Linked DNA regions of Cricetulus griseus. The protein of the gene in region 6 interacts with the protein of the main gene of each other region in a pairwise test. Links are inferred from orthologs where the notes say so. Each region holds a gene or a part of one and is shown on either strand. Other genes may lie near its edges. The genes, in order: Mylip, Map2k5, Mapk9, Lrrc8e, Ptcd3, Lnx2 and Nmd3.

What was found.
Region 1: the proteins of Lnx2 (region 6) and Mylip interact in binary tests that used the Homo sapiens proteins (3 or more experiments, as listed by UniProt). The link is inferred for Cricetulus griseus from reciprocal best matches to the Homo sapiens genes LNX2 and MYLIP.
Region 2: the proteins of Lnx2 (region 6) and Map2k5 interact in binary tests that used the Homo sapiens proteins (3 or more experiments, as listed by UniProt). The link is inferred for Cricetulus griseus from reciprocal best matches to the Homo sapiens genes LNX2 and MAP2K5.
Region 3: the proteins of Lnx2 (region 6) and Mapk9 interact in binary tests that used the Homo sapiens proteins (3 or more experiments, as listed by UniProt). The link is inferred for Cricetulus griseus from reciprocal best matches to the Homo sapiens genes LNX2 and MAPK9.
Region 4: the proteins of Lnx2 (region 6) and Lrrc8e interact in a two-hybrid assay, tested with the Homo sapiens proteins (3 studies listed by BioGRID and IntAct). The link is inferred for Cricetulus griseus from reciprocal best matches to the Homo sapiens genes LNX2 and LRRC8E.
Region 5: the proteins of Lnx2 (region 6) and Ptcd3 interact in binary tests that used the Homo sapiens proteins (3 or more experiments, as listed by UniProt). The link is inferred for Cricetulus griseus from reciprocal best matches to the Homo sapiens genes LNX2 and PTCD3.
Region 7: the proteins of Lnx2 (region 6) and Nmd3 interact in a two-hybrid assay, tested with the Homo sapiens proteins (3 studies listed by BioGRID and IntAct). The link is inferred for Cricetulus griseus from reciprocal best matches to the Homo sapiens genes LNX2 and NMD3.

Annotation. Positions count from the first base shown.
Region 1 is NC_048596.1:265,108,527-265,112,489, forward strand, and holds the start of Mylip (E3 ubiquitin-protein ligase MYLIP), read left to right. Parts: upstream 1-1,163; 5' UTR 1,164-1,304; coding exon 1,305-1,391; intron 1,392-1,405; exon of another isoform or gene 1,406-2,157; coding exon of another isoform or gene 2,158-2,190; intron 2,191-2,204; exon of another isoform or gene 2,205-2,387; intron 2,388-2,493; coding exon 2,494-2,684; intron 2,685-2,707; exon of another isoform or gene 2,708-3,963. UniProt on the Homo sapiens protein: E3 ubiquitin-protein ligase that mediates ubiquitination and subsequent proteasomal degradation of myosin regulatory light chain (MRLC), LDLR, VLDLR and LRP8. Activity depends on E2 enzymes of the UBE2D family.
Region 2 is NC_048597.1:174,663,668-174,666,669, reverse strand, and holds the end of Map2k5 (dual specificity mitogen-activated protein kinase kinase 5), read left to right. Parts: intron 1-2,029; coding exon 2,030-2,152; 3' UTR 2,153-2,502; downstream 2,503-3,002. UniProt on the Homo sapiens protein: Acts as a scaffold for the formation of a ternary MAP3K2/MAP3K3-MAP3K5-MAPK7 signaling complex.
Region 3 is NC_048600.1:64,345,896-64,349,395, reverse strand, and holds part of Mapk9 (mitogen-activated protein kinase 9), read right to left. Parts: intron 3,161-3,500; coding exon 3,036-3,160; intron 1,993-3,035; coding exon 1,929-1,992; intron 1,108-1,928; coding exon 1,039-1,107; intron 121-1,038; coding exon of another isoform or gene 116-120; coding exon 1-115. UniProt on the Homo sapiens protein: Serine/threonine-protein kinase involved in various processes such as cell proliferation, differentiation, migration, transformation and programmed cell death.
Region 4 is NC_048597.1:89,034,213-89,038,448, forward strand, and holds the start of Lrrc8e (volume-regulated anion channel subunit LRRC8E), read left to right. Parts: upstream 1-1,436; 5' UTR 1,437-1,537; intron 1,538-4,236. UniProt on the Homo sapiens protein: Non-essential component of the volume-regulated anion channel (VRAC, also named VSOAC channel), an anion channel required to maintain a constant cell volume in response to extracellular or intracellular osmotic changes.
Region 5 is NC_048601.1:63,594,400-63,597,899, forward strand, and holds part of Ptcd3 (pentatricopeptide repeat domain-containing protein 3, mitochondrial), read right to left. Parts: intron 3,329-3,500; coding exon 3,241-3,328; intron 2,227-3,240; coding exon 2,166-2,226; intron 1,721-2,165; coding exon 1,635-1,720; intron 861-1,634; coding exon 716-860; intron 1-715. UniProt on the Homo sapiens protein: Mitochondrial RNA-binding protein that has a role in mitochondrial translation.
Region 6 is NC_048597.1:82,876,975-82,880,474, forward strand, and holds part of Lnx2 (ligand of Numb protein X 2), read right to left. Parts: intron 3,018-3,500; coding exon 2,649-3,017; intron 1,395-2,648; coding exon 1,254-1,394; intron 649-1,253; coding exon 471-648; intron 1-470.
Region 7 is NW_023276806.1:83,373,919-83,378,048, forward strand, and holds the start of Nmd3 (60S ribosomal export protein NMD3), read right to left. Parts: upstream 2,801-4,130; 5' UTR 2,646-2,800; intron 2,384-2,645; 5' UTR 2,374-2,383; coding exon 2,330-2,373; intron 224-2,329; coding exon 89-223; intron 1-88. UniProt on the Homo sapiens protein: Acts as an adapter for the XPO1/CRM1-mediated export of the 60S ribosomal subunit.

The DNA.
Region 1 (3,963 bases), on a different chromosome or scaffold from region 6:
AAAGACCCAAGGCTGAAACCCACATCTCCTGGCTTATCTTATAAATCAGTAGTTCTTAATGCTGTGACTCTTTATGTTCCTCATGTTGTGGTGACCCCCCAACCATAAGTTGCTACTTCAGAACTGTAATTTTTCGACAGTTATGAATCATAATGTAAATATCTGTGTTTTTTGATGGTCTTAGGTAACCCCTGTGAAAGAAAGGGTCATTAGACCCCCCTCTCCCAAACTGGTTGCGACCCACAAGTTGAGAACCACTGTTACAAACCAAAGAGGCAGGCAAAGTAATTGTATAGGCTAAGAGAAACAGGCAATGAAGTCATGGCCTTTAACCATTAATCTCTTCTACTGAGACTAAACTCCACCCCCACCCCTGCTGGGTCCTGAGAGGAGCCCTTTACCTCTAACATGGAGTAACTTCGGGCTCTCCCAGGGAAAGTATCAGGTGATAGTGAGTGACTTGATCCTAGATAGAATGGGTAACGCAATGGAGGCCCCAGCACTCCGCTAGGTGTTTCGGTTTAGCAGAACCCTTGCATTCAAAACTCTTGGCACGCGTTTATGTAAGAATGGTGCTTTTAAGATCAAGCTACCCAGCTTGTTATTGGTCAATTGCAAAAACTTTCCTGCTCAAATTGTGCGTTTTTGCCACCCTCAGTGGCAAATCCCGGCCGAAAAGTCTTAACTTCAGGCTCCGGCTTGCCCGCTTCCCTCTGGGCTCTCACAAACCACCTGGTTGTTGGAGTGGGAGTCGTGAGAACAGTGGCATCGCGGGAGCGTTTGATCACGGTCCTCTTTCTTGAGCAGGGACAGAAAGGCGTCCCTTGGAGCGGCAGGCGACAGCGGGCTGGGAGGAGCGTCGCCCAGCGGCAGAGGCTGTGACGGTACAGGCGTGGGGGTGGGGGCTCCCACCTCCCGCAGCTCTACAGGCGGTGCCGGGAGGCGGGGCTCCAGTCTGCCGGAGCTCCGTATTGGCCGGCGGGGCTGGGGAGGAGGGGCAACTACGCCGTGATTGGCGGAGGCCGGCGCCGGAGGGGGCGGGGCCGCTATAAAAGACGCGTGCCTGTCTCGGAGCAAGCAGTCGGGCTGTCCGAGCGGCGCGGCCGTGGAGCACTCTGGAGTGGGAGACCGCGGGGGGTGGCGGGGACGCGAGAGGAGGCTGCGTGGGGTGCGTGGGGTGCAGGGCAGACGGCCGCACCGCTTCACCTTCCTCGCGGAGCCCGGAGGCGACTTAGAGCTACTGCAGTGAGGCGACAGCCGCGGCGCACACCCGAGAAGAAGCGGCGGTGGCGGCGGCCCCAGCCATGCTGTGCTATGTGACGAGGCCGGACGCAGTGCTGATGGAGGTGGAGGTGGAGGCAAAAGCCAACGGCGAGGACTGTCTCAACCAGGTGAGGGGGACGATCGGAAAGGGGATCCCCACTTGTCCCCGGGAAGCCTGGGGCCTCGGGGATGGTCCTCCGGAGCCGGGCGACGTTGCAGCAGCGGCCCGTGGAGCGCGCCCCGGACGCCAGGCTCCAGCCTCCTCCCCGCGGGCGGCGGGGGTGGGGGGCATAGAGGACGCGTCCGGTGGGGGGGGATCCCGGGCCTGGAAACCCGGACACTGCCAGGAGCTGCAACCCTGTCCCTTACCTCGGCACTTTTCTCTAAATAAGGTGACCAGGCACACCTGCCGCAGGTGTGTGCGTGATGCCGCCCGTGGGGTCCTCGCAAAGCCCGGCAGCGCCACCCGCGTCCCGGGATGAGGTGGCTGCAGACAGTCACGGGCCCCGGGGTTCCCTAGCTAATCAGGTGGGCCCATGTCTCTAGCTGCTTCTCCGAAAGAGAGTTCACCTGACACTCCGGGCTTGCTGGGGATCCAGAGTATCCTTGGTAATTTGCGGGGAACGGTTCTGGCAGTCTCCTGCTTGTGGTCTTTACACGTGTGTTTTCTTTAGAGTGACTAAGGCTCTGAACAGTATTTGCATGGTGGATATGGCAGGCACATTTGATCCCCCTGAAACACTGTGCCTTCGGGACCTGTAGACCTGAGCTGATTGGAAAGCCACTTGTGAAGCTTAGCTGACACTTGTGGCATGCTTCCTCAACGTGTTTGTGTTTTTGGAATCCAGATGGTTAGAACTGCCCAGATAATAAGCTGCCAGATCAGCTGTGCAGATGGTGCTGGTGGAAGGAATTCCAGCGATTGGAGTAAGAAATAAAATACCCTTGGGTTCTTCCTTCTCAGCCTTTTGTGAAGTCTGTTTTAGGGGACTCCTTACCCTGTGCAATTGGCCATACCCTAGAAATATTCAAGCAAGGCCGAGGCTCCTTTGGAGCGCTGTGTTTTGGCATCGCTGGTACCTTAAAACGTTGTTTTTCCATTCTACCACTGGAATGTTAACACGGTAGGACTGGAATTATAACAAGGTCAAAGTAGGTGACTGCCCTTCACGCAGATGGAGCCCTTATGTGTGCATTGCCTATATCTTCTGCCTTTGGTTTTGTTTTTAGGTGTGTAGGCGATTGGGGATCATAGAAGTTGATTATTTTGGGCTGCAGTTCACCGGCAGCAAAGGTGAAAGCTTATGGCTGAATTTGAGAAACCGGATCTCCCAGCAGATGGACGGGCTGGCACCTTACCGGCTCAAACTGAGAGTCAAGTTCTTTGTGGAGCCCCATCTCATCTTACAGGAGCAGACAAGGTAAAGTGAGGCGGAAATAAACCAGTGTCAAGTACACCTCTGATTCCACCTAGGAGGGGCTTCCAGAGATGTTCCCGGGCTAATTTGACTTCCTGAAGAGGAAGTTCAGGAAATACTTAAATTTGCCGTTGAAAGCACAGTTGGCCTGGGTGGGTTTTCCAACTCTTGTTTTGGTTATACACGCCTCTATATTATTAATGGGAGAGCAGAGTTGACTTCTTACAAACAAAAAGAAAACCCCCAACACTGACTTCCTGACAGCTATGTCTAATGCCCGCTAGTAACCCCGCCTCAGCAGTGTTACTACAGGTCATTGTCGACGGTTCTAACTGAAAGCAGGAAACAGTTCCTCTTGGGTTACTTAAACTTGGTCAGTCTTCAGCCTAGTGTCAGATTACAGTGTGTAGCTGAGTGCTCTGTCTGGCCTCCTGCAGATTTTAAAACTTTTTTAAGTTTCATGAAAACTTAATAAAAGAACTCTTTGAAGGCCACTGTAACTGAACTCCAGCCTACAGCTATATTAAACATGATTGTTGGGCATTAGATTTTTTTTCCCTCCTTGTTAAAATAAGTTCCACCAGCCATGGTAGAAACTGAAGTGTGTGGTCTCCTTCTTTAAACGACCAAACAACAACAACAAAATGTGTTTCCCTCACAACTGGCTGTTATCCTTTTCTCAAAGATGATCTAAAATAGAAAAGTGATGTTTAATATTTGTTATTGAAATGCAAGAGACTTACAGTGGCATACTGAAAAAGGGAAATGATTGCTTTTAAAACCACAGCAAGCTGTGGGTCCCAGCACTGATGTTTCCCATCCTCCTGTGGCTTGGAAAAGCGCCATGCATGTGAAAAATGCGATCTTGTAGATTTCAACTCATAATCGGGGAACAGGATCCTCGGAGAGGTTTCAGCATACTGTGTTTTGTTTATTTGCCAGACAAACGGTGGAAACGTTTTAAAATACCACTCGTTTGGATTTGAAATATCCCCTTTGTCTTGCTGTGGAACTTTAAAAGTGGGGGGAGATCTTGTTTATGAAGGAAACTGGCATAAGGAATTTTTAGTGTTTCTGAAAATACCTTACGAATATTCATGCAATAGCATGCTTATAGATGCTGAGCTGTCTCTGTTAGTCACAAGAGGCTCTATCTTTCTTTAAACTTTTACTCTGTATGTGTGTATGCACTGTGTACGTGTACATGCCTGTGCTTGCACACACATCTGTATTCCTGTGGAGGTGACAGAACAACTTTAAGGAGTTGGTTCCCTCCTCCCAC
Region 2 (3,002 bases), about 92 Mb from region 6:
TGCCTGTTCTCAGACAGATGATAACCGTGATGGAGCATATGGCCCCAAAGTCACCCGGCATTCTGGGAGAGTGACACTGTGTTACCCTGGGCTTGGGGGGAGGGGCCCATCCTCCTGAGCACAGCTTCTGTCTTTGTTCTTCAGAAGGGTACAAGGTCGCCTCTCCCAAGTCCAGAAAAGAACATGTACGGGAATTCAAGGATGTTCTCTATTTAGGCAGCCATTGTGAAAGCAGGCAGAGGCTGGGCAAGTATGAGCAGGGAAGCTTATGGAAGCCAAAACGGAGTGCCTCTCATCTCACCCCACACAGGCCTGTGCCGCCCACAATCCCCCACCAGCCTGGCTTCTGTTCCCCTTTCTTGGGGTCCTACACTCATGTCTGAAACCCCCACAGTATGCCATGAGGAATAATTGGGTACCCAGCTAGGCTTTAGGCATAGCCCTGGGCCCTCAACTGGACACAAGCTCCAAAGACTTTTTGTTTTGTTTTGTTTGTTGCTGTTGTTTTCCCACAAACAGCCAGGCTGGAGAGGCCTGGGTAGCATTCCTTCCTTCCCATTCCCCAAGCTCCACCTGGTCCTCTGCAGATCCTGGTAGATATAGGGCCAGGACACAGTATAGCCACATAGCCATGGGACAGAAGATGTGGTGAGGTTGTTGCTGGCACTGAGATGCCTACCATGTTCCCAGGACCTGGCTATTTGCCAGGGTCACAAGTCACAGGTACACTGGGAAAGTAGCTCAAAGCCTTGTGGACCAACAGAGACAGTCAGAGAGAGGCTCAGAAAAGCCAGGATGCAAGGAGGAGGCACCTGGAAGGGGAGAGAATCAGGAGCTTGGGGGTGGGCATCAAGGATCCCTCATCTCCCTGCTCACTCTCTGTAACTCCCCAGGGCTTGTTTTCCATGGAGGCTACCAAGTTTCTGCTGAAAGTCTTTGGTTAAGGTAGCTACTTGGTGAACTGAGTATCGCTTTCCATTCCGGTTCCCACTGTGGCTCTGACAGCCCTGTGGCTTGTCCTTGATTGCTTCTGGCCCTCCCTGGAAATCCCCAGACACCCTGAGATTGGGGATGTCGATCTTAGTGTATCAGAAGAGAGGGGAGGATGCTGGCTAAATATAACCTGACCTGGCCGGGGGCTTAAGTAGGTTAGAACAGGAGATGAACCACATGGAAACAGAGCTGGGCCCTCCAAAGTGCAGCCCTCTGCCCTGAACCACCACTCCCCTCAGCACTCCTCTTGCCGGCCACATCCTCCTGGCAGGTGGTATCTGTGCTTCCTCAGCAGACTGAGTCACTTACAGGGGGGCAGGAGACAAAGGAGGAAACTAACAGGGATTGACAACGCCTCTGACAAGATGATCCTTTGCTCTCTGGGCAGCAACTGGACCGGAAAGCTGGCCGCCCAGGGGCCAGGCCTTGGCCTAGTGGCTATGGCATGAAACTGAGCTGGAAAAGGAGCGGGCAGAGCGTGGAGTTAAGACTAAGATGTGCCTTTCAGCTTCCCAGGCAAGGTCTCAGATGCTTCCCCGCTTCCTCTGCATAGATCAGAGGACAGTTTTCTAGACTGAGTTCTCCACTAACACCATGTGGGGTCCAGAGATCAAGGCGGTCATCCAGGCTGCCTCCAAGCACTGTTATCTGCTGAGACATCTCAAGATTCTAGCCTGCCTTCTTACCATGTGGGGTTACTGGAAAAAAAAAAGAAATCAGGTCCAGACTTGAACACACCTTGGAATGAACACTGAGATGCCTGGCTGTCTTTTTGTTTGATCTGTCTATTGCTCTATCTTTTTATAACAAGGTCTTAAGTAGCTCAGGCTAGCTGTGGATGATCTTGAACTGCTGATCCTCTCATCTCTGCCTCTCGGGTTCAGGGGTTACAGCCACATACCAGCATACCTGGTTTATATGGTGCTGGAGACCAAACCCAGGGCTTTGGATTAAGCTAGGCAAGTGTCTACCAACTGTCCTTGGCAGCAGGCACCCAGCTTGGGACTGCCATCACACCTACTGTTCTTCCCCACAGGGTCACCCGTTCATCGTGCAGTTCAATGATGGAAACTCCACCGTGGTGTCCATGTGGGTATGCAGAGCACTAGAGGAGAGGCGGAGCCAGCAGGGGCCCCGTGAGGCCTCAGTGGGACACTGACTACCCAGGGCCAGTCACCAAGGACACAACAAGCTGCGACCCGCTCTGTCTGCTGCCTGATTGGGAAGAGCTGCACTGGGCCCAGCCTCCTCCTTTCACCTCCTACCCTACCTAGGGAGCCCTCAAGAGACCCAGCCTCTGCTGAATCCTGGACCCCTGGGGGGTGGGGGCAGTAATGAATGTGGCAGGTGGAGGTGGTGCAGAAGGGGTAGAGGGAGGGGGAGGGGGGTTTTAAGGATGGCACCTCTTCTTGCCTCAGCCCCTTATGTTTCCCTACTGTTCATTGTAAAGGGTCAGACCCTATCGGCAGCACTGGTGAGAGAGTAAAAGTGTTACTGCTTTGGACCGGGTTTGTTTCCACAAGTCTGTCATTCACATCCCCATTTTCCAGGGACACCTGCAAGATCCTGTGCGTTTCCTGTAGCTCGATGTTGAGGCCCATGCCCCAGCTCAGTTGTCACATGAGAAACCAGGGCTCAGAGGTGCCTGCACCAAGTCCCACAGCAAGGTGTACTGAGGTCAGGTCCAAACCCCAAGCCTCGTGGTGTAGTCCTCTCCTGGTCTGGAGCTAGCTACAGGCCCAGCAACAAACTAGCACCAACACTGGTGTGGCCAGGGGCATCTGAGAAGGAAACTGAACATCAAGAGTGAGGTGCAGGAATTCAGAGGCCTTCAAACCTTCCTCACACCAGCCACCAGGCCCTCTCACCGCCTGTGACCCAGGCCACTCGTGGCCACTTCAAGTAATCCTGCAGCCACCTGGAGGAAGTGTGGCTGTCCTCCTTTTGCAGCAGATTGAGGGAAACACTGAGAAGCCAGTTGCCACCTGGTCTAAGAGACACCCCCGCAT
Region 3 (3,500 bases), on a different chromosome or scaffold from region 6:
GAGGCATCGAGACTGCTGTCCGTGTCTGAGGCCAGTGTGTGCTCAGTGGACATGGACGAGATGTCATTGATGGATGAAGACTGTGAAGGGGTGGCCTTGCTGCTTACTGCTGCATCTGTGCTAAGAGAACCAAATGGAATAAAACCTGAGGCATGGGGCTCCAGGCTACTTCCTGACTCTGCTTTGCAGTTTCCTGGTTGTAATGATCAACAGAACCAAGAAACTTGTCTACTATACTTTTGAGCTACTGGAATTTTTCCTTAGCCCTTCTTTGGTTCAATTTCCAAACAGTCTTGGCTTTCCCTACAATGTTCTCTTTTTTTTCCTGTGCACCATGTGTATGTGATCATGTATGATCATGTTGATTACTGAAAAAGATATACCCACTGACTTCAAACAGACCTTAAAGGAAATGGATGAATTTATACTACAATTACCACAGGAGGCTTAGGCCTGAGTGGGGTTCAAATGTTATGGGACATTTAATTTACAACAGGCACACCTCATCTACAGAAAAAAAGCATCAGGATTCAAGAAAATCTTTTGTGATAAAAATGCCTTCTGAAATATACACCCCAAAAAGGAAAAGGCTAGTGCCTGCTATGAATTTTATTTTTGTTTAATGATTCTAAAAACTGTTATTTTAACTTCAAAGGTAAATAAAGCTACCCTATTTCCTACTACCCATGTGTTAGTGTGGTTTGAGCAAAAATAAAACATGCAGGATCTTAGGTCTGCACAAACGTCCATCTTTTTCTAAACTGCATGGGATCAGTGCAAACAGGACCACATTTTAAAAGTCTTCAAATCCAATCTCTTGCTCTCTAAACAGCTGACAGCAGCTGCTGCAAGTCACAACAGCAATGTCTCAAATGCAGTTAGTTAGGGCCTGCCACCTCAAAAGAGTGACTGCATTAGGACACGAAAGAAGGTAGCTACATCACACCAGGGTGGTCCAAGTGGCATTAACACATCATTGCCATTTATAAACATTGAACAGCCAAAATATTAGACAACAAAATTAAAGCAATCACTAACCTGAAGGCTGGTCCTTTACACCATTCTTGCTTCTTTCTTCCCAGTCCATCACTTCTTTATAAATTAGTTCTTCAAAGAGAAACAGAAGATGCTCTGTTGTTTCCCCTGCACCTGAACTCTGCCTCCACACCCCTGGAGCTACCCAAGGGCACCAGAATTTCTCAACTTCCTTTGGCTATCACATAAGTTATTAGGGGTTCACATTCTCATACTGCAAGCATACACTGTGAGCATTGCCATGATGAGTATGTACATGTGTGGGCCACTGACATGCCAGTGTGGAAAGTCTATCATCAATGTTGGCCTGTACTGACTACGGCCCTTAGTCTCTAATGGCCCTGCTTCTGAATGAAAACTTTCAAGTTGTTTCTTTGTTAACCACTTTAGTTCACTGTGGCTGTGTGGTTCATCTTAAAGGTACCTTCTTGCCTATTTTTGGTAATTTCCTTCAAACCAGCTTTTAAAACATAAAACTATATGGCTTAATAGACAAAGACATGTCCTACAGCTGGGCTTCCCCATATCTGTTTAGACAGGCATCTTTGTAGGGAATATGTAGCCTGTACATTGGGTTGGCTCCACCAACTCCCATGCTATCAAAATGAGTGTAACACACTTACTGATGTCAAGGCCACACATCAGTATACGATAATGGAAAATCACATGGAAAGTCCTTGGGTTTCACCTGAAGCAAATTATGATGTCACATATGTTCTATTCTAACACTGCTAGAGTTACACTCTTCCTCAGTGGGAAGTGGGGAGAGAGGAAATTGGGGCTTCTGGGGTCTCAAGGTCCTTTCCAGGAGTCTGGTATCAAAAAATAGTGACAGTTAAGTTCTATAGGACTATGAGAATGGCATAAGTAAAGATCAAAACGCGTGGTTTTACCTTTCCATTCTTCAATTGCATGCTCTCTTTCTTCTAACTGGGCATCATAAATTTGAGGTGGTGGCTGAAAATTAAATATCATGTCAGGTGAATAGCTCAAAACTAGTGGGGCATGATGGGCAGATAGCACTACTTAGAATGTTTTGAATCTATTTATAACATGGATTTAGCTTAATTAACATGTTGCGCAATTTTTTGTAAGCATAATATATTTTATCAGTTTAAAAAATCAAACAATTAGATTTAACCAAAGGAAAGCTATAATAATAATAATAAATAATAAACCTCAATAATCATATGACCTCAAAACGCTCTGCAGACACAGCCCAAAGGAAATTACAAAATTAATAACCATAGGCAGCTTGATGTTCCCAGGAATAAGGCTGTGAGGGAGCTAAATGAGGTGTAGTACTTTCTTAGAGCACACTTCAGCTTATAATTCTTTATATCACAGGACACCCATGCCCAAGCCACAAGCTGATGAATAGAAGATTCTACAACTGGCTGTTCATAAATCCAATTCTTTTGATATAACATAATGTTAAAATGGCAGTCAAAGCTAGACCCAGGACACAGCGGTGTGTTCCACAGTTGGCATGAAGTAAATGCCCCACTGTGTTATAATTTTACTCATAGCTAAGATTCATTCACACAAATGATGCTATGAAAAAACATATGAGAGAATCAGATGCCTAGATGTGGTAGGAAGGTGTGAGCTAGTGCGTCACTTGGGAAGGCTACTTAGCCTCTCTGATTTGAAGGCCTGAATAAGATGTAAGCAAAGTCCAAGGCCTACTGCCAGGTATGAAGCAAATGCTTCATGATTATTACATATCAGCTTTATAAACATAAAGATAACTAGACTACCACAGCACACTCATGTGCACTCCTGAGTACTTAACTCTGTAGCTGTAGCCTCAGCAGCATGTATCCCCCAGGGGTTCAATAGTACTTGTTCTAGTTTTGAAGTCAGGGCCCAAAAATCAACAATCTGCTATCCTCATGTAGCCGTCCTGGACTACTACATGAGAAAAGTTCCAAAGACGGTAGGCCTTGGTTATAAAATTGAGCCCTCTATACAGACGTCTTTTCCAAACAAACACTTACCGCTTCTGCTTCAGCAGGGTCATACCAAACAGTAATATATGGGTGACGCAAGGCTTCATCCACGGAGATCCGCTTGTCGGGATCAATCACTAACATTTTCGATAACAGATCTCTGGCTTGACTTGCTAGAGTGCAAACAAATGACATATTTACATTGCTACCACGGAAAAAAGGAAACAACACAATAAAGATCCAAATGTGAATATACCGACTTCAAGAAATGTTTAAGGGGTTCAAGATCACAGCTTTCAACCTTTAAAAGTCCAATGGCCACCGTCACAGACCAGGCTTTTAGCATGGGAGATGGAAGCAGCAGAGGTGGCAGCCTCAGACCAGTGTCCAGATGACCTAATGCTAAGCGGCACAGGAGACAAGACAGCAAGCACCTCTTTAGGGTGGTGTTGCCAGGAGCATGGACGTGAAGCACCAGGAGTATTTTTCTGTCACAGTAGAACAATGTAAAAA
Region 4 (4,236 bases), about 6.2 Mb from region 6:
TCTGTAGTCTTCTGTGGTGGACACCCCATAGCAGTGTGGACCTGCCTCTTCCTCCCAAGTGTTGGATTTTTCTTAAAAACGTTTCTTTCACTTAATTATGTATATGCACAAGTGTCTGTGGAGAGTATGTGCACATCAATGCAGGCACCTACAGAGGCCAGAAGAAGGTGTCAAATCCCCTAGAATTACAGTTGGTTGTGAGTCACCAGACATGGGTGCTAGGATGTCCTCTGCAATAGCAGTACACACTCTTAACTGCTGTGCCTAAATTCCAGCTCCTAAATTCTTTTTCTCTCTGTGTGTGCATCTTCCTGCGTGTGTGTGTGTGTGTGTGTGTGTGTGTGTGTGTGTGTGTGTGTGTGTATGGGTTGGGTGGAGGGCACATTCTCTCTCCCACTTATTAGTCTAAGTGGGAGGTTTCCCATTGAGAAGGTATTTTTCACACTGAGAGAACATGAAGGCACAAACTTGGCTGCCTCCAGATGGAGTATTTGATGGTCTGTGACTGGAGTTAAAGCCTCCCTTAGCTGCTGATGGTGAGACCTAGGTAGCCGTGGTGATAGTGGTGAGCCAGGATGAGTTTGGTTGTTTTGTTTTTTAATGGGGCTCTCAGAGGTGACCATTCAACTCATCTGATGGAGTGCTTGCCCAGCACCTAGATTCCATCCCCAGCACGACATAAACCTGTGTCATGATGACACAAGCCTGTAATCCCTCAGCCTGAAAACCCTCCTGTAATCCTCTCGGTGGAAACTCAGATGCTGGAGGCAGGAGGATCAGAAATTCAAGGGCATCCTCACCTATCTGGAGAATTTGAGGGTTGTTTGAGGAGGAGAGATGGGGGGAGAAGGGGAAGGTAGTTCCAGCCCCCATCCCTCCTCCCTCCCTAAACCCTCTGGCCCTGCACACCCATGTCTACCACGTGTCACACCCCAGGCTGAGGACAGAGTTTGTCCTTGCCCCAACCCTCCAACCTTCAGGATGGGCCAAAAGCCTAAGTAGAGATCCGAAGACTAGTACCCACACTGTGGCTTCCTGTGGCCGGGAACAGCTCCTTATGGCAAGCCAGCTCTGGAAGAGGGATAGCCTTCTGCTCTTGGTCTTCCCCTGCCCGAAGCCTAAACTACCCGGGCCTCGGGCCTCGATTGAGCTTTGGTACCAGGTGGGAATGCTTAGGGATTGGAGGAAATGCTTCCCAGAACCGACACCTGCCCAGATGGTACATCTGCAGGATACCAGTTTGCCCCCAAGGCCAGGACTTAGCGAGACTGCAGACTTCTAAAGACTCTTCACTAGGGAATCTCTCGCCTTGCTCGCGATCGCTTGGCGTGGAGTGGGGTCGACCTGGAGCGAGGCAGCGCCGAGACATCCCGGGGGCGGGGCGGAGCGGGGCGGCTCCCGGCTCCTGGCCCAGCCCTCCCTGACTCACCCTGTACAGCCGGCCGGCCCGCCCGCCCGCCCGGGAACTCAGCGGGAGTCCCGGTCGAGCCATTCCCTGGGATCTACTAGTTGGGCCCCAGAGTTCCATCCCTGAGTGGTAAGTAGCTGGGGTTGGGGGACTTTCGTCCCACAGGTGGAGATCAGCCTGGAACCAGGGAATGGCCCAGGGGGAGGATCGCTCAGGTGTGGGTGGCTCCGTGGCCTGGGCGAGCGCAACACCCCCTCACACACACACACACACTGGGGGCTGGGGCTGGGAGTGGGAGAGGTGTCCCGTAACCTTCAGCCTGGCCCCCAGGAGCCAGGGAACAGGCAGCCTGGGAGCAAGCGAAGGAAGGGAAATCAACAGGCAGGCAACGACTTCAGGAGTTTTGATTTCTACAGCCTGTGCCAGCATGAGGTGGTTGGAGGTAGATGAGAAAGACAGAAAGGGAGTGCCCTCAAAGCTGCAGACCCTAATCTCACCAACCCGCTCCCTAAGGTTCTTACACTTCACGATTCCAAAACCCCTTCCACGTCCCAGCAAACTAAGCTTGGGAAAGTGCTAGCCTAGGAGTCCATAACCCTCCCACCCCAAGACTTGCCACTAGGGGTGACTTTTCCTTACCTCAGAAAACTCCCTTGTAAAAATCTCCCTTGGAACTGAACTTTGAGCTTTTGGGTTTTTTACGTGTTTATTTTTTTTTTACTTTATTTATTTATTTTGTGTGTCTGTGTGTATACACACATGCGTGACACTCACACAGAGATCAGAGGACAATTTTGCAGTAGTTGGTTCTCTCCTTCTGCCTTATGGGCCTCTGAGTTGGAGGTCTTCTGGCTTGGTGGCAGGGGCCTTTGCCCAGTGAGCCATCCGCAGTAGCCCTGTGATTTGGGTTTGGGGTTTTGGATTTCTGTTGTTGTTTTTCTTGTTCGTTTGTTTGTTTGAGACAAGGTCATAAAATACAGGCTTGACTCTAACACGCTCACTCTCTATGCAGCTTAGGCTGCCCTCGATGTATTATCTGTCCTCCTGCATCTATCCTAAGGAGGATTACAGGATTGTGTGCCACCATTCCAGGTTTTATGTGGAGCTGGGACTTGAACCCAAGGCCTGAGCCAGCATCTTACCAGCTAAGCTACACCCCTAGTTCTGACTTTGTACGGTAAAGGTTAAAGAACTCTGCTGATCTTCCCTCACCCCTTAGCATGGGATATGCAGCTGGGGAGGCTGACTGAGGTTGGGGCATCCTCTTCATCCATTCAGCAGCAGAAGCAGGGCTTCGATGTGGGAAGGAGTTTGCAGGATCCTCCCAAGCCTGGTCTTCTGGGACACCTCTTGTGGGCGTGGGTGTGTGTGCAGACCAAAGACTGATTTGGGGTGTCCTCCTCGGTGGTTTCTCCACTTTATTTTTTGAGGCGTTATTCACTAAATCGACGTTCATGGATTTTGGCTAGACTATGTGGCCAGTGGTCCTCAGGGATCAACCTATTTTACCGCACCCTGCTGGGATTATGGATGCAGGCTGCCCTGCCCACTTTACATGGATGCTTAGAATGTCACTTATGTCCTCATGCTTGTGCAGCAAGCTGTTTACTGACTGAGCCATTGGGGTGCCTTCATTGGATGGAACAGAGTTGGTGCCATCAAACAGGAGGGGGACATTGGCTAGACAGGCTCAAATGATACACACACAGTGAAATCTTCAATGAGTTATGTTCATCCTCCAAGACAAAGGCATCTACACTTTTATTTCCAAAACTGGGATAAAATTCAGCAGTAGGCTGAACATGGTGGCACACTTCTGTAATCCCAGCACTTAAGAGATTGAGGAAGGGGGATTGAAACTTTGGGTTCATCTTGTGCTACACAGCCAGCACAAGGCTAGCCTGAGCTACATAGCAAGATCTTGTCTCCAAAACAATCAGGAAAGGGAGAGGACTGGGCGGTGGCTGAGGGATAAAGCGCTTGCTGTGAAGGCATGAGTACCTGAGTTTGGATCTCCTGCACCCACATAAAAGCAGGGCGCTGTGGTACACATCGGTAACTTTAGTGGATTCCAGGGCCAGTCCAGCTAAAATGCTGAGCCTCAGATTTCAGTGAGAGACCGTGTCAAAAAAAAAAAAAAAAAAAAAAGATAAGGGCCGAGTTTAGCAAGCCCAAGCACCTTTGATAACCAGAGGCTACATAAAGATAAGAGAGAACTGAAGCTGGGTGTTGGTGGTGCATGCCTTTAGTCCCAGCACCAGGAATCAGAGGCAGGCAGATATTTGTGAGTTTGAGACCAGCCTGGTCTACAAGAGCTAGTTCCAAGGCAGCCTCCAAAGCCACAGAGAAACCCTGTCTGGGGCGGGGGCACTGATCCAACAAAGTTGTTCCTTGGTCTACACACACACACACACACACACACACACACACACACACACACACACACCACTCACGCTAATAAATAAGATGGAGAGCAGTAAGAGATACCTAACATCAACCACTGGGCACACACACATGCATACACCTGCACACATGCATACATGACGTAAAATAAAAAACCTTATAAACAAAAGAAATCAGCATTGAACACAACAAAAGACTCCCTTACTATTTTTCTCTACACCGCCCCCAGTTCTGTGAGTCCCTCCTGCTAAACCCTCCCATCAGCTCTGTCCAGACATAGGGAAAGGGCCAGCCTTGTATTTGCCTGCTAGAATTTAATGGCAGGTTCTGGAAGATTGAGTTTGAGTCATGGGGTCAGACAATGATAATCCTTGTGTCTCCCTCTGATTGTGTGTATGTCTGTCTACATGGTGTGTATGTCTTGT
Region 5 (3,500 bases), on a different chromosome or scaffold from region 6:
GTTTCTCTGTATTGCTTTGGAGCCTGTCCTGGAACTTGCTCTGTAGATCACGCTGGCCTAGTGCTAGGATAAAAGCCAAACGCTACCACTGCCCAGCTTGCCTAACTATTCTTAAATTAAGCAATTACTAAATTATTCACAATATAAAGTGGCACATAATTTGGGTCACAATATTTAATTATGCTAGAACAATGTCCTGAAATTTAAAACAGGCCAAAAAAGCAATCAACTCCCTTTAAAATTAAGAGAATTACAGAAAAAGTATTTCAAATGTTAAATAACAATAATATCTACTGTAAAGAACATGAAGTGATAAAGTATTCCTGTCATAGCGGACAGTTATCACTTGGTATCCATGGCACGTGAATATAAATGGAATTATATGCACATAACCCACACACATCCTACTGTATACTTCAAAGCATTTCTAGATCCAAAACCTGATATGCCACAAATGCAACCCCAATACTTGTGTTGTTTAGTAATGGCCAATACAAGTGTAGACATATTTACAATTATTTTTACCTAACATTTTTTTATCTGGGGTTGTTTGCAGAGATAGATACAAAGAACCAACTTCATGTGAAGTTACAAATGCCACAAGGAAACCCTAACAGTAAAGCAATAGTAAAAATATAAACACTTCTGGCTTTTGTGGTTGAGACCAAAAGTCAGCACACCTCATCTTCAGAGAGGAGCCAGGATGCATTCTTACCTATTCCAAGGTATTTCATTTCACGTAATGTCTGTAAGGCTGGGAGCCTTCCATGCATATAAAACTTCCGGAGACACTTCAGCACAGCATTAAAAGTCTGAAGGTTTGGTTTCACCTTCTGTGCAACCATATGTTTCAGCAGATCCTAAGAAACAGGAAATTTTTTTTTTTTACTCCAAGGTAATTTGCCAAAACTACTGAAATAATTTAGTTCTGTGGCTACATATGAAAAAAATTAGCACCCATACTCTAATTTAGTAACTATCTGCTTAAAAAAACCTGAACAACCGGGTTTGGAAGCCCATCGTTAATCCCAGTACTTGAGATTCAGAGGCAAGGGATCTCGGTGAGTTGAAAACCAGCCTGGATTTACATATCAGGTTCCAGACTCGTAAAGGCTGGACAGTGAGACGTTTTCTGAAAGAAAACCAACAAAACCAAAAAGGGACAAAGAACTATCTACCAGGGATCCCATCTTCCAGAAAGTCTCCTTACACTGTCATGGATCAAGGTTATCTTTGTCTCCCCAAATCCTATCATGCACCACAGGCAATCAAGGTGTTTATCTGTAGTCTTCTACCAAATTGAGACTAAAATAGAAGCGCCCATGGTATGTAAAAACACGTTCTAAGTTTTGACAAAATCTCTCCAGTGATTTCAATTTAACTTCGCTGGCTAGAATTCTATAATAGGTATGTACTTTTGTAATTAACAATGAAATCAATTATACATTAAGTGTCCCAACTCTTCCTGAATCCTTGCTATGTAATAATTGATTAATCAGTGTTTTGTTTTTTCCCCCATAATAGAGAGGCTTCTTAAGCTAGGGCAGAGTACTGAGCAGTTGCCACCACATAAATGATAAATTAATATTTCATAGTCAAAGGTGGGTAGAAGACAATAAAGGTTGTTTCCTTACCAGTATATTATTCCATTTTTCCTCAAATTTCTCACTGGCTATCAACATTTTAGCTTCAATCAATGCATTGAAGGTATATACATCAGCTGTAAAAGAAAAATACTTTAACAAAACTTGAGGTTGAAAATTTACCTGAAAACAGCTGAGGTGAAGAGAAAATGATCATAGAACTAGCTCTCTGGTCCCATTTTAATCACTAGTATGGCAACAAAAGTTGAAAAATCTAAACAACAACCCCCCAAACAATAACTGTGGCCCAATAACTGAGACAACTTCCAAAAACCTAACTGATTCTTGTTAGAACAGTGGTTCTCAACCAGTGGGTGCACACCAGGTATCCTGCATATCAGACATTTACAGTATGACTCACCACACTAGCAAAATTACAGTTATGAAGTAGCAACAAAATAATTTTATGGTTGGGGGGGTCACCACGACATGAGGAACTGTATTAAAGGTTAACAGCATTAGGAAGGTTGGAAACCACTGAGTTGAGGGAATACACAGGTGGAAGCCAGTCCCCAGACTCACCATGAAGTCTGTTATTTAATAACTCGGTGTACAAGTTCAGTGCTTGTGCATAAGCTCGGTGCTGGAGAGGAAAAAGCAACATCATCAAAGTGTTCTCAATTTGGAATGTGAACACACAAAACAGGAGCCTCCAATTCTCAGAAGCTCGTACCCTAGTGTAGTAAGTTTCTTCCAGAGGGCATTAGCAATGCTTAGACATTTTCAGTCATCACAACTGAGAGTGAAGCAAGAGCATGTAACTCACATCTAATGAGTAGAAATGGGGTGGCGGCAAGGTGGGAGACAACATCTCACAACACAAAGGGAAGCTTCCAACCCTCTTATCGTCAAGGAGGAAGTGACTGACTCAGCCTTTAAGAGTGCTTGGTGCTCGATCACAAGGTCTAGAGTTCTTATTCCCACACCCATGTCAGGTGGCTCATAAATAAATGCAGTAACTGGCTCCAAGGGATCAACACCCTCTATTACCCAATGTAGGCACACAACGGAAGCGCGCACATGCACATACACACTCCTTCATACACTTAAGACACAGACAGATGCACACATACATGAATAAAGAAAAAAAAAACTCACAAAACTATAATAAAGGTCATTCATCCCTAATCCAAAATTTGAAATGCCTCCAAGCTAAAAAATTTAGAGGGCTGATATAAAGTCATGAATAGGACCTCATTTAATAGGTTACAAGACAGAGCATAGACTCACAAAGGTATTACATAAAATGATCATGTTAAGTGCTGTAGTTTATGCCCATGTTCCCAATTACTCCAGAGAATACAGTGGGAAGAAATGTTGAATCTAAAGGCACTCTAAGAAAAAAAAGTTTTTGCTAGCTATTGGAGCACCTTTAATGACAAGGCAGACGCAGACAAATTGCTGTGAACTTAAGCCTTGTCTCCCTAACGGCCTAGCCAGCTGACCTACAAACTGAGACCCTGAGGTAGAACTATTTTCATTATTTGCATAAAAATTGAATGATGCAAATAGACATCATGCTCAGAACCGACCCCACCCCCAAATATATTATTCATCCAACGTAATAGACCTTCAAGATAAAAATAAAGGAAGATACCTTCACCATCCCTTGGATCATTGTACAGTAGGAGCGTGCATTCTTCTCGGGTATCAGAGCAAAGATTCTCTCAGCATTGTTTTGTGCTCTAGAAACAACAGAATAAACATGAATCAGAGGCACTGGGAAAATTAGTAGTAATTGCCATTTTTTCACATAACCATTCTACAACCCAGAGTTTGACAGGGTTATCATCTCAAAAATGGAGGGTCAAAGATCTGAAGTTGTCTGGACATGAATAACTCAGGGTCCCTGGGTAA
Region 6 (3,500 bases):
AAAATCAAGTTTGTCCTCGGCTACTTCCTCTTGTCTTCTGCACACTCGAATGGCATCTTCATGAGATGATTTTTCAAAGCCTTGTCTCCTTCTACCTCGAGGTCCAGGGATAGAGCTCGGGCATCAGGCTTGGGCAGCAGGTAGGTGCTTCTACCTGCTCAGCATCACACAGATCCTGGACACTTTATCATAATCAATGCTGTATTTCAGTGAGAAGGCCTTTAATATCATCTGCCATAAGCTGGATCTCTTCTAAGATAAACATATAAGCCAAGAGTTTGGGCAACTGCAGGGTCTCGAACCATCATCAGGGTTAACTTTCCCAACCTTACAGAAAAATATTATGTTTTCTGTACAATGACACTTTATTTTAAAAAGTCATGTTTAACCTGAAACACAGTAATTACTCTTAAAAATGTGACCTAAATTCTGAGATGAGACATGGCAGATCTTCCAAGACCCTGTCTTACCTCTCTTGATTCTGCCGTCTCGTGCAAGGCAGCCGTGGGGTGGCACGCTGGTCACAAAGATGGGCAGCTCACCACTCTTGCTCCCTCTGCCACCAGCAACTGTCATTCCAAGGGACTCATGTGGCTCCTTCTTTACAGTGATATGCTTCTCCTGGCATGTGACACACTGAGTGAGATCCTACACAGTGAAAAAAGAAAAGTCTTGGGTAATTAACAACATGCAGCTGAGGTAAAAACAGGCTCAACAAGGTGACAGGTTCAGTGCCAGTTATAAAGGGATTTTATATTTTTTTCTCCTTACTGAGGACTGAAAATAGTCCATAGCTCTTTGTTTTTGAGACAGGGTTTCACGATGCAGTCCTGGCTGTGCTGGAAATCACTCTGTAGGTCAGGCTGTCTTGGAACTCATGGAGATCCGCCTGCCTCTGCCTCCTGAGTGCTGGGATTAAAAGTGTGCTACTACACCCGGTCAGTAGATGGGGATTTTAACACCATAACAACACATGCTATCCATGTGCCTGTCAAAGCTTATGATGTCAGTATTCACACAGCTAATTCCATCCCTGTAGATGACACGCCTAACTGCTAACCATGGACTTAATCATGTTTTCATGTTGCATTTCTAACTGTAAAACCAGTGATAACATTTAAACAAGCAGCCCGAGAAGAACAGACTTCCACAGAGCACTAAGCTGTAGAGGATCACTTCTTGTCAAGAAACTCACAGGCTGTAACAGTGGTCCTGAGAGGGTGGCATGAATTGAAGGATAGGAGCGTCCTCACCTTGTGTGAGCTTGGTCGGCTATGAGAGGGTGGCTGTGCATGCTGCTGGCTGATGCTGTGTGCTCCTGCTTCACGGGTGCCATTGCTGGGCTGGGCCTTCCCGGGTCTGGCAATTGTCAAATTCACCCTCTCTCCGCTGGCCTGGAGAAGACACATTCATCACTACCCATCACAAACGATGTTTGTGGCTTAGAGATCTTAGTGGAACTCCACTCCTTTCTCCTCATCAAGGAAGGTTCTCATTAAGTAACACAGGCTAGAGGCTCCTGTCTCAGCCCCATGAATGCTACAAATATACACTGCCTGGGAACACTAACTTTCTATGTATTTCTTAGTCACTGTGCCAAAGCCTCATTTGGGCAGTCACTACCTGGCAGCAGGAAGGTCATAGGCTAATATTTTCAAACCACTCATACACACACACACACACACACACACACACACACACACACACACCTTTCAGAGTTAAACTATTTGGAGGCTTGTGCTCTGCGTTTTAAACATAAAGGTTCACAAATGTGTTACACTTAAGGTCATGTTCACGCTCTTAAAGTACATCCTACTTACCCGATGCTTCTTCCCTTTCATCACCACAAACCTCCAACTTTACTATTCTCCTACAGAAGCTGACAGCTTGCTTTAAGGAACTGTGAGAGGATGTAGGAACCTTCCCTGTGACTAAAATTCACAGAGGGTAAAGGCACTCACTGCCACACCCGATGAGCTAAGTTCAATCCCTGGGGCCTCCACAGGGGAAGAAGAAAGCTAGATACAGCAAATTGTCCTCTGATCTCCACATGATCACACACACACACACAATAGTAAATTTCGTAATTTTTGGCTCTTCAGTTGGAAAGTAAGTGAGAGACAACTTTAATACTATAATTAATCATTTGCCACGCCAGTACATCTCCAGGGTCCAATAGGCAAATGCTGAGGTGACAATTAGAATCCGGACATTTACAGCCTCGATGGCTCTGATGACTATACCATCCTATGGGAAGTATCAATGGCTACTTGGGATTGTCTAACTAATACACTCACTGTCATTACTGTTAACACCTGAGAGCCCTAAATCAGTACTTCAACTTTCCTTAAAAACCATTCGGACAAGCTTACTGGTTGAAGTAAACCCTTGCTCTCTTGAAAGATGTAAAGCTGCAGTGCCTACACTGTACAAACAGAAGCCCCAAAGTACATGGGGACACAGGTTTTAGGAAAACAAACAGTCAACAACTACACCTAAACAAACACAGTTCTATTTGGGGAAGTTATATATAGTAGTATGGATTTTGAGGATTTTATGTAACCATGTATGACTTTCCAAAGAAACACTGATGGTCCTGGAATTCTTATGTGTGACTGATGACCCAGACTCAGTTGTGTGGCGTCTACCTGAATGATCTGGGCAGCGAGCTCTGGGGTCCCATGCTTCAGGTCGTGTCCGTTGATGGCCAGTACCCGGTCATTGCTGTTGAGCCTGCCGTCCTGCGCTGCCAGCCCCCCTTCCAGAAGGTCAAGAATAAAAACGCCTGGCTCATCTGTCCTTCGGACTAATTTAATCCCCAGCTGCTCTGCCGAGTCTCGTTTGTGAAGCAGCACTTGGAAGACCTCGTCCCGAGATGCGCTGCTGTCTGCATGGCTGTTTGCTCGGCTGCCGAAGCGCCTCTCGCGCAGCACGGTGAGATGCAGCATGCTGCAAGGCTGGGAAAGCACGGCCCGGGCATAGTTATGGGACACGTTGCTGATATCATAGTTGTTGACCTAAAACAACAAATGGACAAACAACTCCTGTGACCAATGCATGACAAAATTTATTTTCCTAACTTGCAGAAATGTCTAGATGACAACTCCAAAGGAAACCAATATGGAGAAAATGCCAGAGGATCCCATACCTAAAAGAAAACCATTCTAAAGACTTCCACAGCATAGAATTTTAAAATAAACTAATGGCACAGTGTTGAGGAGTAGTTAGGAACATGGGCGTTGACATTAGTCTTTGGTTCTGCTAGTTACTGATACCCTAGGGGACAGGGCACTCATCCAGTGCCTGCTCCTCTGGGTCTGACTCTATGTCACAGGACCAGGGTGGGAGGGAGCAGGCCTCATCAGGCCAGGGCAAGTCTGCAACTAGCACAGCTCTAGTGGCCTGCAGGCTCAAGTTCTGCTGGATTTCAAAGCTGCTTTCCCTAATGAAACACACTTACAACAGACAAAATAAATCGCTTTATTTCTTAAGAAGTTGCA
Region 7 (4,130 bases), on a different chromosome or scaffold from region 6:
TACTTTGGTGTAATCCCAGCACATCCCAGTGGCTCTCTGTATGAATATCAACTTAAGAAAGCTAAACAAGTAACATACAGTACCATACCTTTGACACTGTTTGCAGAAAGAAATGGAGACCTGCTTTGGAACACCTTGGCTGATGTCAACTTTACTTCTCAAACAAGCCACACAAACGTTGGCAGGATTTGGGCTAATTGGAACACCACACTCACAGCACAAGCTTGAGAAGATAAGTATAAAAATTTTCCAATTAGATTTTATAAATTCACTAGGCAAAAAAACACATACATACATACATACATACATACATACATACACACACACACACACACACACACACACACACACACCCCCACCCACCACCACCCACCCTCCTCCCTCCTCCCTCCTCCTCCCTCCCTCCATCCATCCATCAAATCAAAGACCTGGAAACAGTTTTTAGCACCCAAGTGGCAGCTTACAACCAACTATAACTCCAGTTCCAAGAGATTCAACCCTTATTCTTCTGATCTCTGTGGGATCCTGAATGTACATGGCACACACACATATACACTCATGCACACACATGTAAAACAACTTTTAAAGCCAAAATAGGACAAGCTGAGCATGGTGGGAAACCCCTTTAAAATTAACAACCAGGAAGCAGGGAACACAGTTCTGTGAGTCCCAGGTCACCCAGGACTACACAATGAGACTCTGTCTCAAATTAAGACAGGAAAAAAAAAAAAAAAAAAAAAAAAGCAATCTTAAAGAGTGAAGAAGAGCCCTGGAACATTGACCCAAAAAAATAAGGAGGCTGCAACTGCAGGGAACCCCTTTAAAAGACAGATCCCTGCCCATTTGCACTCTCTCTACACTTCTCCTCTTCTCTGTCTACTTCTGCTTCTCTTCTCTCTCTCCCTCTCTATGGTGACCAGCCATGGTGGTCAGCCATTTACACTGTTTCTCTTCTCTCTTACTCTCCTTACTCTGCCAGGCCTATAATAAACTGGTTAATATGTCTAATATGTCTCATCCTGTGTCTCATCTTGCGCCTTCCTCCTCCTCCTCTTCTTTATCTTTAATTTAAACAAAAATCTGACAATGGCACTGTGCAACAGAACTTCATGCAATGACAGATATATTCTAGTCATTCATCATCCCTTCTTTAAAATTGGAAAACTAAGGAAAAAAGAGATTAACAAGGAAAATAGTGTAACATCAATGGTAAAAACTGAAGCAGATCCCATGTGAACAAAAAGTAAGACAGCCCAGTGTGATGGTGCACACCTTTAGGCCCAGCCCTTAGGAAGCAGAGGCAGGCAGATCTCTGAGTTCTAGGACAGGTGGGGCTTAACATGGTGAGACTGTTTCAAAAAGCAAAACTAAACAAGGAAACAACCAAAACAAGCAACATGTAAGTGCAGTTTCTCTTTAATCTTCTAAACACTACCCTGTGTAGGTCACATCCGACCAGATGCCTTTGTTCAGAGCACTATCTCCACGACATTAGGAACAGTTCAGTTACTGGGACCCACGGTAAAAGATAAGGTATGTATAACATGAAAACAGAAAGGTTATTAGGGGGAGAAAAGGGATCAGTGGGAGGCGGGAGACAGTGAAGCACAGCAGTAGGGTAAATATGAGCACTGTACAATGTTAAATATATGTATACTCATACATATGTATACATAAAAATGTCATAATGAAACGCATTAACTTTTACGTTAAAATTAATCTTAAAAAGAAAAACCGACTACAGGGCAGGATCGATATCTGCTGAAGCTCTAGACAGAAGTATAACTCTATAGTGTACTGGAAGCAGAAAAATTTTGTGAACTGGGCTTGACATAACCTCAGCACTGGGGAGGCTAAGGCTGGAGGGCCAGGCTCCCAATGTCAGTCTTGGCTACAGGGTGAATTTCATGCGGAGTTGGGGCTACACTGCAGGACTCTATTTGAAGTAGATTTGAAAAAAAAAAAAAAAGTTTGTGAACCATTGACACTGTTGCCCAAAAGAAAAATATAATAAACTTCCAGCGGTAGCCACTAGTTTTATGTGGCTACTGAGTTCTCAGTGTGTGGCTCGTGTGTTGGAGGAACTGAGTTATGAACTCAAAACATCCGTATGTGCGGTGCCTCTCTGGCAGGTCGTCTAGGATGAAGCATGCATGTTCTAGATCGAACTTAGAAATGAACTGAATCAATTAAAATGAATTAGATTTCCTAAGGGATTAAGACTTGATTTTTTTTTCCAACTGAGAAAAGGGCTTCTGCCGCTCAAAGTTTTCCAGGGCTCATTTCACGATCTGCAAACTAAGGAAGGAGAGGGAGGCTCGCGACTCACATGTGTCCGGGGCTGCGATCAACCGATTCTGTCATATACTCCATCGTTCCGGACCTATTAAAGGAAGGGAGGGACCGATGAGCAGCCTTACGTCCCGTGGCGTCGGCCGTGCAGGTCGGGCCCCGGGTGGGTGGCTTCGGAGGCGTCCTCCACACACGACCTCAGGCCGCGCGCGGCCCCGCGTGGAGCCGGCCTCCGCACCGCCCTGCCCCGCCGCACCCACGCGGTCCGCTCGCGGCCGGGGTGCAGGGCCCGGCCCGCTCCCTCCACGGGCCAGTGCGGGCGCCAGGAGACGGATCGCGACCCCAGAACCTACCAGCTCCTGCGTGGCAAGGGGAAGGGCAAGATACCGGCAGCCCGCCAGGCCGGGACTCCCTGCCAGTTGCCTCAGCGGGCCAACGCCACTGGGAATGTCTCGCGATAGCAGGACCGGAAGTTCCGTGTTCAAAACGACTCCGGTGAAAGGGGAGGGTGGGCGGGTCAAAGGTAAGGTACACGTGTAGCAAAGGGCGGGGCCTATGGAGGTAGCGGGTCATGAGAGGCGGGGCGAGCTGAGCAGGCAGGGAGCTCTGGTCACCGCTGCTGGGGTTGTGTAGTCCTCCCTCTGCTTTTCACCCTTCCCATACCCTGAAGATGCTCTATATAGGACCTGGAGAGATGGCTCACCGACTATAAGCCAATTGTTCTTACCTGGGTTCAATTTCCAGCACCCACGAGGTGGGTTCAGCCACCCACAGTTCTAGTTCTAGAGGATCTGATGCGGTGGTGCACATATGGTCATCCAGGCAAAACACTCATATACATAGGATAGATAAACCTTTCTAAAAATTGCCCAATATGAATATCACCGTAGATAGCCTAAGCATATCAAATCACTGTTTACTAAACAACAAAAAATAAAAATCTGATAACGTTCTCCTAGATTACATTGTACTTTTTTAATGATAAGCAGAAAAAACTGAAATGTTTTTCACCAAAGGAAATTATTCTTAAAGAAATAATCCGGACATGTTTTTTCTGAGAAGCGAATTCACAAAATAGATGAAAATAGATATGTAAGCAACAGTTACAATGTGGTTTCAGAAACTGGTGTCAAAAGGAGATCCTAATATTTCTAAGAAACTTAAATTTACTTTCTTTTGAGTGTTTCGCCTGCATGTGTGTCTGTACTAAATGCACGTCTAATGCCAGAGGAGATCAGAAGGAGACAACTGGTTGTGAACCACTTTGTGGGTACAGGAAACAGAAGCCATGTCTTCTTAACCTCTGAGCCATCTCTCAAGCCCCAATAAAGATATTTTCACCTATGCAAAGTGTGCTGGATAGCTTTATGTCAATTTGACACAAGCTAAAGTCATCTGAGAGGAGGGAACCGCAATAAAAAAAAAAAAAAAAAAAAAAAAAGCTTCCATAAGACTGAGCTGTAGACAAGCCTGTAGGGCATTTTCTTAATTAGTGATTGGTGGAGGAGGGCTCAGCCCATTGTGGGTGGTGCCATCCCTGGGCTGGAGGTCCTGGGTTCCATAAGAAAACAGGCTAAGCAAGTCACCAGGAGCAAGCCTGTAAGCAGCACCCCTCCATGGCCTCTACATCAGCTCCTGACTCCAAGTTCCTGCCCTGCTTGTCCTGACTTCCTTGATGATGAACTGTGACATAGCAACGTAAGCAGAAAAAAAAACATTTTCTCCCTAACTTGCTTTTGGTCATGGTGTTTCATCAAAGCAAGAGTAACCCTAACAATGACACGAAGTTACATCCTTCTGAAGATGTTAATAAAAGAAATAAACTAAGAAAACAGAAA